Linked DNA regions of Neodiprion lecontei. The protein of the gene in region 1 purifies or fractionates together with the protein of each later gene. This does not show direct contact. Links are inferred from orthologs where the notes say so. Each region holds a gene or a part of one and is shown on either strand. Other genes may lie near its edges.

Region 1 (5,006 bases):
GGTTGCACGACGACATCACTGTGTCAAGACAAAGAAAGTTGATGTGAAAACATTAGAGCCTTGGTAAGTTTAACTTTGAAATTTGTAGTGAAAACCAGTTTAAAGAAAATCACCTGATCTCATCCTGATTGGGAAACACGCTGTAAGTTTCTATCAACTTTTTTGGAAACCTGTCAGCCAAGCTTTCCAGCATGAACGAACCCATACCAGAGCCAGTCCCGCCGGCAATTGAATGGCACAAAACGAATCCCTGAAATCAATCAGTCTGTTTACAATAAAGAGAAGTTCATGTGTGACGTAAAGTATTTGATATTTGCTGAAGTGTAACAGTTGTCCTGCCTCCAAGCTGTCGCTCCCATCTGCTTCTCTGTCCAAGATGTCAAAGATTTCCTCCTGTAGTTTCTCACCCTGGTGGTAACCCGACGCCCAGTTATTGCCTGCTCCACCTCCGTGTTTTGATAAATATATATTCTCAGGGTTGTAGAGCTGTGAACATCGACAATGAAGTTGTTATTAATTACTGGAAAAGTAACAGATATACTGGAAAATTAATGTGAATGTATTAAAATGATACCAGCCTTAGAGTAGGGCGAGTTCATGATCGTATGTATAACTCGAGGCTCCAAATCCAAAAGTACAGCACGTGGTATATAGTGTTCGTCATCCGATTGGTAAAAAAAGACATCTTTTCTGTCTGTTCCTTCTGTTGCATAATCCTCAAGAATCCCTTCAGGATTAATTCCATGCTCTGCACAAAGTCTTTTCCAGAATTCAAAACCAACTGAAAGAAAAGTTCAAACGATTTTGGATCAGTAACACATATTCCTCTCATAATAAGGTGTGGAAAGAATTATAGTTAGCAAAATAAGTGAGGGATAAGATGTTGAAGTGCAAAGGCATGGATAAATGAGCAATTTGTATGATCTTAAGAGCGATAAGCAATAGACACAAATATACTGCCAATTATGAGGACTTTGTTACAAAATTGAGCAACTGACCAAAAATAAGAATATTAAAGAAAGTATAACATGAAAATGTTGCAAAATGGGCATCAATTATGAATTGAATGCTAGCCGGAAAAGCAATTTAGATTATCTAGAACATAACCTCCAAAATGGGAAAATTAGTGCATTTCAGGTGTCTCTCAATACTCGAAAAATACTCACTCTGGTTGCCGCATTGGCCCAGCTGTAAGGTTATCATTTCACACGGCATTTTTACTCTTGCTTATACCGCAGCGAACAAAATAACCTGAATAAACGTCTCGACATGAGATTCACCTCAATCCTTGTTTACTACTGTTTTTTGACAGTTGACTTTTAGGACGCTGATTAAATTCAAACGCGCGCCTCTCTCCGGTAACTACAGACTCGACTGTAGCACTGTTACCAGATTTCGACAATTTCTCATCGAGCCTCTTGCTTAACTTATGTTAGGTGTCTGCAGCGCTTACTGGTGACCACAAGTGAAAACTATGAAATGGGTTAGATCTCTGATTCAATTCGATTGAAACGTAAAATAAATAATTGACATGCTCCAACGCCCGTGAAAAACATTATTGTTAAGCTCAACTTTACAATCTGGTAAACCACAAGGCCTTTGTTAATTTTTCACGAGATCCGTGCATAATTATAGCACGTCAATTGTTTATCAACCGTTCAATCGAATTTGAATCAGAGTTTCAGCCCTTTTCAAAGTTTCGGCTTGCGGCCACCAACCCACCAACATACACACACCATGGATCATGCGATGAACCTAGATATGTAAGTTAACAATAGATGTTGGAACGAAAAGCGAACAATCCTGTAGAAGGAATAAACAAGGAACAATAAATAGTGATATTAACCGTCTCAAGTCTATGGTATTAACGCAGGGAAAGCGTTAAGTGAAGAAAAAGATTGTGAATTGTGACCCAAGATAGAAGATTTTTGATCACCGCGCCATCGGTTTTCTAAACATTTATGTGACATGTTGTATGTTTTAAAAACAATAAAAAGTAGAAACGACAACGTACAGCTGTTTAGGAAGATAGACTATGGCGTCATTTACGTTCGACACGAATTTTAACGAAAAGGGCCCCGTAATAACGCCTCGAAAATATCGTGAACTTAAGCACCAACCGAACAAAGATTATTCCGAAGTAAGTGTTCTACTTATTAATTAATTCGTTGGAAAATAGCGGTTTGTTTCTCAGAAAATTTCACTATCACTTCTCGTGCAACCTAAACCTAACCTTGTATTCATTGTATTTATGCCAAAGGTAGTCGGCCGCAATAGAATTTCAGTGATACGCGACCGCTGATTGTCAGTCAACTAGTTAGCAAAAAATTGATTCATGAATCCCTAAATTTCAGTACGATTTTCCATTTCATTTCAATTAGACTGTAATCCCGTTTTATTGATATTGTGACAAAATCCATGCAATCCACACACATGGTAGCTTAAAATGCACCGATTATGTTATAAGGGAAGTCCGAAATATCTCTCTTCGGATCATATGTCTATGACAAACTTCTAAATTGATATCGAACAATTTCTCATAAGTTTGAAATAGTTTTCAGACATTTCTAAACCTTTTTTGGTACATGTTGTGACCATTTAAAAGTGACATGATATTTAACAGCAATTAGCCCGGATCCTCCAAGCTTTATTATGACCAGATCTCACTGCTCAAGTTATCAGCGCAAAGTCTTCATCTTTATACTTATTCTTTCAGGATGACTACGAAACTCCTGACTTGGATTTCGTCTATGACGATGCTGACACCCATGCCAATGAAATTGCAGAGCTGTATAGTTATACAGAAAAACATGAGCTCATGTATAATCTTAAAGTAATATATCTTCACTTTGAACGTATAAATATTGAATTAGATTTAGATTATGAAATGATGGATGAAACTATAAATCAAATCATGGCTCTTTTTTAAAGTAGATATATATGCAAAATACACATCTCAATTTTTGAATCAATGCAAATGTTGGTTATTATTTTGAATATTTTTTGCAACCATTGCTTCAGGCATTTGAAGAGCAGATGGAACAGTACAAACTGCAACCTTGGTGGCAAACACATCCAACCTCACAGCAGAGATCTATAATTTACAAGCTGCTGGACCAGCTTGAAGTGTCGAATAAGCAGATCAGAATGAAAGCTGCCTGTGCAATTCTCTACCTGGCTCAAGGATCCTGGGCAGAAGTACAGTCAGACAAGGAACAACAGGACTGGACGAGGACGAATGTCATGCTGCTGTACGAGGCTGGAGTCTTTCCAGCATTTGTGGAATTGCTCAACATCGAGATTGAGTCAGTTTGCTAGCTTTTTTAAACTCATAGTCTTTCCTCTGTGCGTCGTTTTTGTACCTGGTGGTAAATTTTATAATTACAATGGGATCCAGGAAGGCTCAGGCTATTACCAATATTATTATGCTTGCCTTTTCATTTCTAGAAACAGTGCAGCGGCTACGTCAGCTTCACGGAAGTTGGCTGTGAGTTTGGCGGATTCGGTTGACCTCAGAGTGATTCTATCTGTTCTCTACATCATTACCGAAGTGATGAGGGTCGAGGCTCTTGATATAGAGAAGAGTCCTTACAAAAAAAATGTTGAAGCTTTTAAGGAAGAACTCAGTACGTCAAATTCTTGAATTTCTCTACTCAATTTTCAAACCAACAATCTGTTCCTTCCTCTAATATTTCTTCTGTCTTTTGTTTTGACAATCTTTTCTTACAGTTCTTATTGTCCATCATAATTAAAAATACACCATACTCTGATTGCATAAACCTTTCTTAGACTGCTATAAGTGCTACAAAAGTGTTTTTATTTTCATTCTGTATATAGTAAATCCATACGGAGAAGAATTACTGGCGGTGAAACTTCTCGGAATGGCAACACGGTTTTGTAGCGGTTCGGCGTCACATTTCCCCATGAAAAAGGTCCTTCTGCTTCTCTGGAAAGTTATCCTAGTGTCGCTTGGTGGCATTGAAACTTTAAGGGAATTGAAAGCCAATTACAGAGCGGAAGCTGGATTGGATATTCAGGAGGAAGACACGATAGAAATCGCCAAGGGAATGAGATCTTGTTCGCCACCTGCTAGCGCCGCTGATCTGCTTGAAACACAGAATCAGAAAAGAAGCGGTCGATCTTTCCGTAGAGTAAGTTTTTTCATTCTACTTACCTTTGATTATTCTTCGGTTATGTGCTGTATATTCCTTCTTCTTGAGCTGATAAGCAGATCCGTTTGGTCTTTTGGTCATGTGGACTTTGAGCGTATAAATCAGATGCAATGTGATCATTGAGCGAACTAGGTCTTGCAAACGTGCGTTGTTGATATTCCTGTATAAGCTACCTGTTTTACTTAATCCTTAAAGAACACATAATGTTCGAAGTGAAAACTTATAATAAGCAATCGAAAGGCTTCGTATGATTTTAGTCAATCTATATATTTGATATTCTCAACAAGTTGTTTATACGAATACAATAATCTTCGTATTAATTGGAACAAAAAAGCAATTCATAATCTTATATAAAATGTAGAAATAACAGAAACTTTGATAAACCATATAGGCTAAATAATATACGGAGTCTGTATGGATTATGCATCGGAAACTTTAATTTACCATCTGCAAATATTCAATAATTTGGTTTACATCTTTTTGCTGTTTTATAACTGTCGGCTTGCCATTCACCCTTTCTTCTATCAATGATATTGTCGCATGTTTCCCATCATGTCTATAGGTGCTTACGAGTAAATCGTAAGATATTCCTGCATGTGACAACTGTCTCATTACGTTCTGTGATACGAAACCGTTCAATGGTCGAAGCGTTTTTAACATTCCTGCAACTGTCTCATTGTCCCAGAATCTTTCTAAAGCTGCTGAAAAACTTTTCCAGCTGGTTAAAATTTCTTCTTCAGATAAATAGCATCTGGTTAGCTCTTCTAATAGATAAACATCATCAAGTGCATTATCAGGTCCTCCAGGTCTCCCAACTAATTTTCTGTCTGCCAT
Region 2 (4,892 bases), on another chromosome or scaffold:
AAAATCAAATACCACTTAGATATTATGTGATTCATCGGAAGAAAAAAAAGAAATATTACTTAAGTAGCAAATTTTAGTCTTATTCTGGTTACATTAACTAAATTGCTTTTCTGTATATACGTATTACATTTAAGTGTTAAATTTCAAACTCGTCCAGATAAAATAATATGTATACATACTTTTCAACTTGTGGTGTTAGATCTAAAATAATATGCAAGAGAAATAATATTCAAAGCTATTTTCACAATTTGAACTCTTCTGAAAAATTCAATATTAATTTCTACACTTTCTATGATTTTCGACCCCATGTATACCATACTGCACCTTAAAGAACATACCTGAATTTTTCAAGCTTTCCCATATTCGATTAGCAATTTCAGATTTGTGTTCTGGTAATTCACTAGCCACCAAGTTTCCGCAACATCGTAAGAGCATAAGGGCTTGGGTACTACTAACAGATTCTGCAAAATTCATGTAAACATTAGGTATGAATTCTATCTGCAATAACAGTGAGTGGGTATTAGCCAAAACATAAATTCAAAGTAAATTAAATTTAAATCCTAAACAATGTAAATACATGAAAAATATCATTTAAAACAAAACTATCAATTCTCACTGCACATGTTGAGCTAATTTATTTGATGAAAATGAAATATAATACGACATTAACATATATCAAGATTTGGAAATTTGTCAATGATAGGAATTTAAGATAAAACCTAGAATTACAATTCAATATCTAGGTACAAGTATGCAGATAAACCCCAAGACTGCGGAATGAATTTGATAAGCTTATGAACCAATAAACAGTTATTTAGTACTGCATACACACATACAAGATATTGTCTCAATTGAATAAACAGTGAAAGTAAAAAACAACTTACTCGAAGATTGAAATATTTTAAAGATTTGATCCAATTTGGTCCCACGTATCTGTCCGTACTTCCTGACATCAGCTTCAGCTCTTCGCAGGGACAATTCAAGAGCAGAGTCACCTTCCACTTGTTTGACAGCCACTTGGGTAGCCAGAGACCTTTTGAGTGAATAATGAAACGGGTTTATTGCTATCTGTGTAACATGACTGTAATTGCATTAAAATATATTGAAATTAACTTTACTTACTTGACTAATGTTGAAGGTGCAATGCAGTGCCTTTGAGAAAGAAGAGTAACACAGGCATTATATTTCACGTGAGAGAAACTAAGCTTTGTCGTAAGTTCAGCAAAGTTGCGGAAGTACTTTGATGACCGTAATATAGTTGCCATTATTATACATGTGCAGATAGATTTAACAATTTGCTATCTCCGCAGGATAACGATGCCCGGGTTACATGAAGGAGTCACCGAAAAGAGCAGAAAAGAGCATGAGAGGTCGCTCACAAATAACACAGATGGCTAGAAAGCTTTGCGATCTTTGAGAATAGTGTCTCGCCATATAGTCACAATAGATGGCATCTCCTGTAGCATCATCAAAATCATAGATATGTGCGTTGGCGATGACTGATAACTTTCCATTACAGTTTTTTATCCTTCCATAAAAAATGGAGAGGCAATCTCATTTTAAATTCGATAATCCTTGTCAGGTATTCGTGGTCTTCGTGGTATCGACGGTTGAGTAAAGATTGCTTTGCTGCGGGTGTGGAAAATTTTCCAACTTGTCGCGCCATCTAAACTATAATCTGCAATAAAACGTAAGGTTCTTCTATTTTCCGCGGTACTGTTGCCGTAATCTAATATCTGAGGCAGCCGTTGCACGTCTTGTTGCCGATTTTTTAACGGACAAAATTTGTTTTCATCGGGTGGAGGTTGGTATCATTGTGTAGTCCGATCACAGGCACCTCGTCAAGTGACGTACTATTCGGTTAACTTGACTGAATTAATGACAGTAAATAATTGTATTGAAGCCGTGTAAAAACATAGAGAGTTATAAATTGTTGTGAAAACCGTATGTGCTGCATATTCATGTGCAGTAAGCCTAGTTCGTCGATTACCAAACAAAGCAAAGGTAGAATAGAATCGAACGTCAATCTCTCAGCTCGTAGGGAAGGAAAGAAAGAAGTTGCTGTAATGGCTGCCATGTCATGGAAATGAAGGTGCCCAGTCAAATTTACGCTAAAGTCGTCACTATGGAGCCTAGAATTAGAATGGAGTATAAAAGCAGCGGTACTTTGATGGGTCATGACCGTCATGACGAACAATTAGGTAACTTGGCAGTCGGGGCGAACACGTCCTACAAGCCCCAAAGTAGCGACGGCAGCAATGGTGACCAAAGGCCGCAATATTCAATACCAGGCATCCTGCATTTCATTCAGCACGAATGGGCCCGTTTCGAACTCGAAAGATCCCAGTGGGAAGTCGACAGAGCTGAATTTCAGGTCTGTCTGAATTCATTGTTCACTTGTCAGTACATTCCAATATATATCGCAGGTGTTTACATTGCCTTCATACCTTATGATTTTCCTATTTGCCCATTTGTATAAAGAGCCTGCCAAAGACGGTCGTCGCTCTGATATCAAATAGGTTCGAAACAGTTCGTAGCACGATTTGTTTCATGACACTGTGCACACTGCAAAAAAATTTTTACACTTTAGTCACATATCAAACGGATGTCAAGTGTCAAAATTTGATTTACAACGTATCCATACAATAATTGTCGTAAATTTTATTACATCAAACGTGTTTTAACAAATTCATAACATTTGACATCCATATCCATTTTATTAATTTATCTGATTCATAATAGAATGAAATTTACTAGAATAACAAATTTCAATATCACATGATTTACGTGTAATCATTGGAGACACTGATAGTCTGCGAAATGTAATTATTGAATTTTTACTTGCAAGAAGTAATGCAAACATGGTTACAATATTTAACTTGACAACACCTCTCAATGTAACGAATAAAGTTTCTTTACATGTCACTAATTCACAAACAGATGCAATTTAATCGAAGTATCAATGTTAACCATCAGTAACAATCACTCACTAGTTAACTTTATATCATTCAAACACTAGTAAACGCATGTACATTTCAAACAATACATCATATTTAATGATAATAACACAGATACATTCTCTGGACGTTAGTTATTCAAATCAATTTTCCTTCTAAATACCTATTCAGAAAAATATTAACGAATTATGTGACAGTATGCTTTAGAAGTTAGAATAAGAGTATACGAACAATTATTAACATCATGAACTGTTTGGCAATTGAACTATTAATTTTTGCTAATTCATTCACACAGATCTATACACAAGATGCTTAGCAAGTCACATCTGCCACAATTATCAATATTCGCAATATTTCTGACAATATTTTCATTAAACAGCTGGCTTATTGAACTTTGCATTTCAAATGAGCATACTTTTCAATGAAATTTCAGGTTCTTCATTACTTTGTTGCAATGAAAATTGGTAAGGGGATAATGTAGCAGTGAAGCAGAAGCCAGAGTTAACAGCGAAACATGTGGAACTTTTCAGAGATAGTAATTTTCAATAATTTGATGTCTATAGTTTTGTAAATCAATTAGCTATTCGTGAAATTCAATGATCTTTTGATTGTTGAGTCTTACTGGATCATCTTCATCAACCTTTGCACTTGCGGCTGCTAACTTTGGCTATGAATTTTACAATGAAATAAAAATTTAATACCTTCATGGGGCGTTTTTTCTAACATCGGCTTTATAACATAACTTCTGTTAGAAAAATGTTATATAGATTTTCATAGACTTAAGATTGATTGACTACCCTACCAGGAAATTTTATTGGGATGTTTAATTTACAGGCCCGAATAGCCTTTCTACAAGGTGAAAGAAAGGGGCAAGAAAATTTAAAAAATGACTTGGTACGACGGATAAAAATGTTGGAATACGTACTAAAGCAAGAAAGGTAAATTTAAATGAATAGAATGTCAAAGTTCGCCATTAGAGATAAAGTAATGAATCATTACCAATGTTATAAATTCTGATGTATAACCAAATTAAAAGCAGTCTGATATTTTTTGTGGGGGTATAATGCTTTGAAATGACATTTTTTCCTGATTTCTGTTTCATTATCAATCCTTATAAAAGACACAATTTTTTAAGTTTTCATTCAATATGTTTCAATATATGGATGTCAATGTTCAAGTAATAGATAATTTTTATATTAGCAAATTTCTTATGAATTGTACTTTGTAATAAAATACGTTTAAATATTTTTCAATTATAAATAATCAAGATACAATATGTGCTACAATTATAAGAACATCGCACATAGTGTCAGATTTATCATTTATTCAATACGTCTTTTCCACTTCATTTCAAATAAATTGAATAAATAGTTATTCTTTACAAAACTAGGGCAAAATATCACAAATTAAAGTATGGTACTGACCTCGTGGTACAAGGAGACATAAAGCCACCCATTTACGACGAGGGAAGTACTTGCGGTGGGTCTGATGGTGGTGGAGGGGATGGTGAGACTCCATTTACTTCTGTTAGCAATATAAGCTGGCGGCAGGGCCGACAGCTTCTGAGACAGTAAGTATGTTTCACGTCATATTGTCATTTTGTTATAAATATAGGAAATTCGATATTTTTATATTATAAAGCAACAGTTGGTTTTGGTGCTGCTTCAGCCATAGAATGATTTTAGCTTGAAACTTGCATAGCGATATATCTAGGGCCAATACATATCCGTAGTGACCTTATTCTAATTACAAATAAGGAATAAGTGATACCCATTTCATTGCAATAACAGCTCTAATTGTTTACATCACATTCGAAAAAATGACCAACTGTTTTTTTCCTTCTGCTAATGAAGTTACTGATATGTTACATAAAAATATTCAGAACTTTCTATGCGGTGTTGTTAGTAGTATGCTTTCATTTTTTTCTATCAGCAT

What was found.
Region 2: the proteins of striatin-interacting protein 1 (region 1) and striatin purify together in Drosophila melanogaster (affinity purification with western blotting; 4 studies listed by BioGRID, with this or other methods). This does not show direct contact. The link is inferred for Neodiprion lecontei from reciprocal best matches to the Drosophila melanogaster genes Strip and Cka.

What each region holds. Positions count from the first base shown.
Region 1 is NC_060264.1:31,863,120-31,868,125, forward strand, and holds the start of striatin-interacting protein 1, read left to right. Parts: upstream 1-1,782; 5' UTR 1,783-2,035; coding exon 2,036-2,140; intron 2,141-2,716; coding exon 2,717-2,833; intron 2,834-3,021; coding exon 3,022-3,305; intron 3,306-3,447; coding exon 3,448-3,626; intron 3,627-3,837; coding exon 3,838-4,151; intron 4,152-4,583; exon of another isoform or gene 4,584-4,607; coding exon of another isoform or gene 4,608-5,006. Other genes in the region: tubulin gamma-2 chain, read right to left, coding at 1-18, 114-250, 340-486, 579-781, 1,167-1,215; uncharacterized protein LOC124294738, read right to left, coding at 4,608-5,006.
Region 2 is NC_060262.1:28,369,454-28,374,345, forward strand, and holds the start of striatin, read left to right. Parts: upstream 1-1,808; 5' UTR 1,809-2,080; coding exon 2,081-2,374; intron 2,375-3,791; coding exon 3,792-3,895; intron 3,896-4,347; coding exon 4,348-4,527; intron 4,528-4,892. Other genes in the region: leucine-rich PPR motif-containing protein, mitochondrial, read right to left, coding at 339-461, 885-1,033, 1,123-1,265.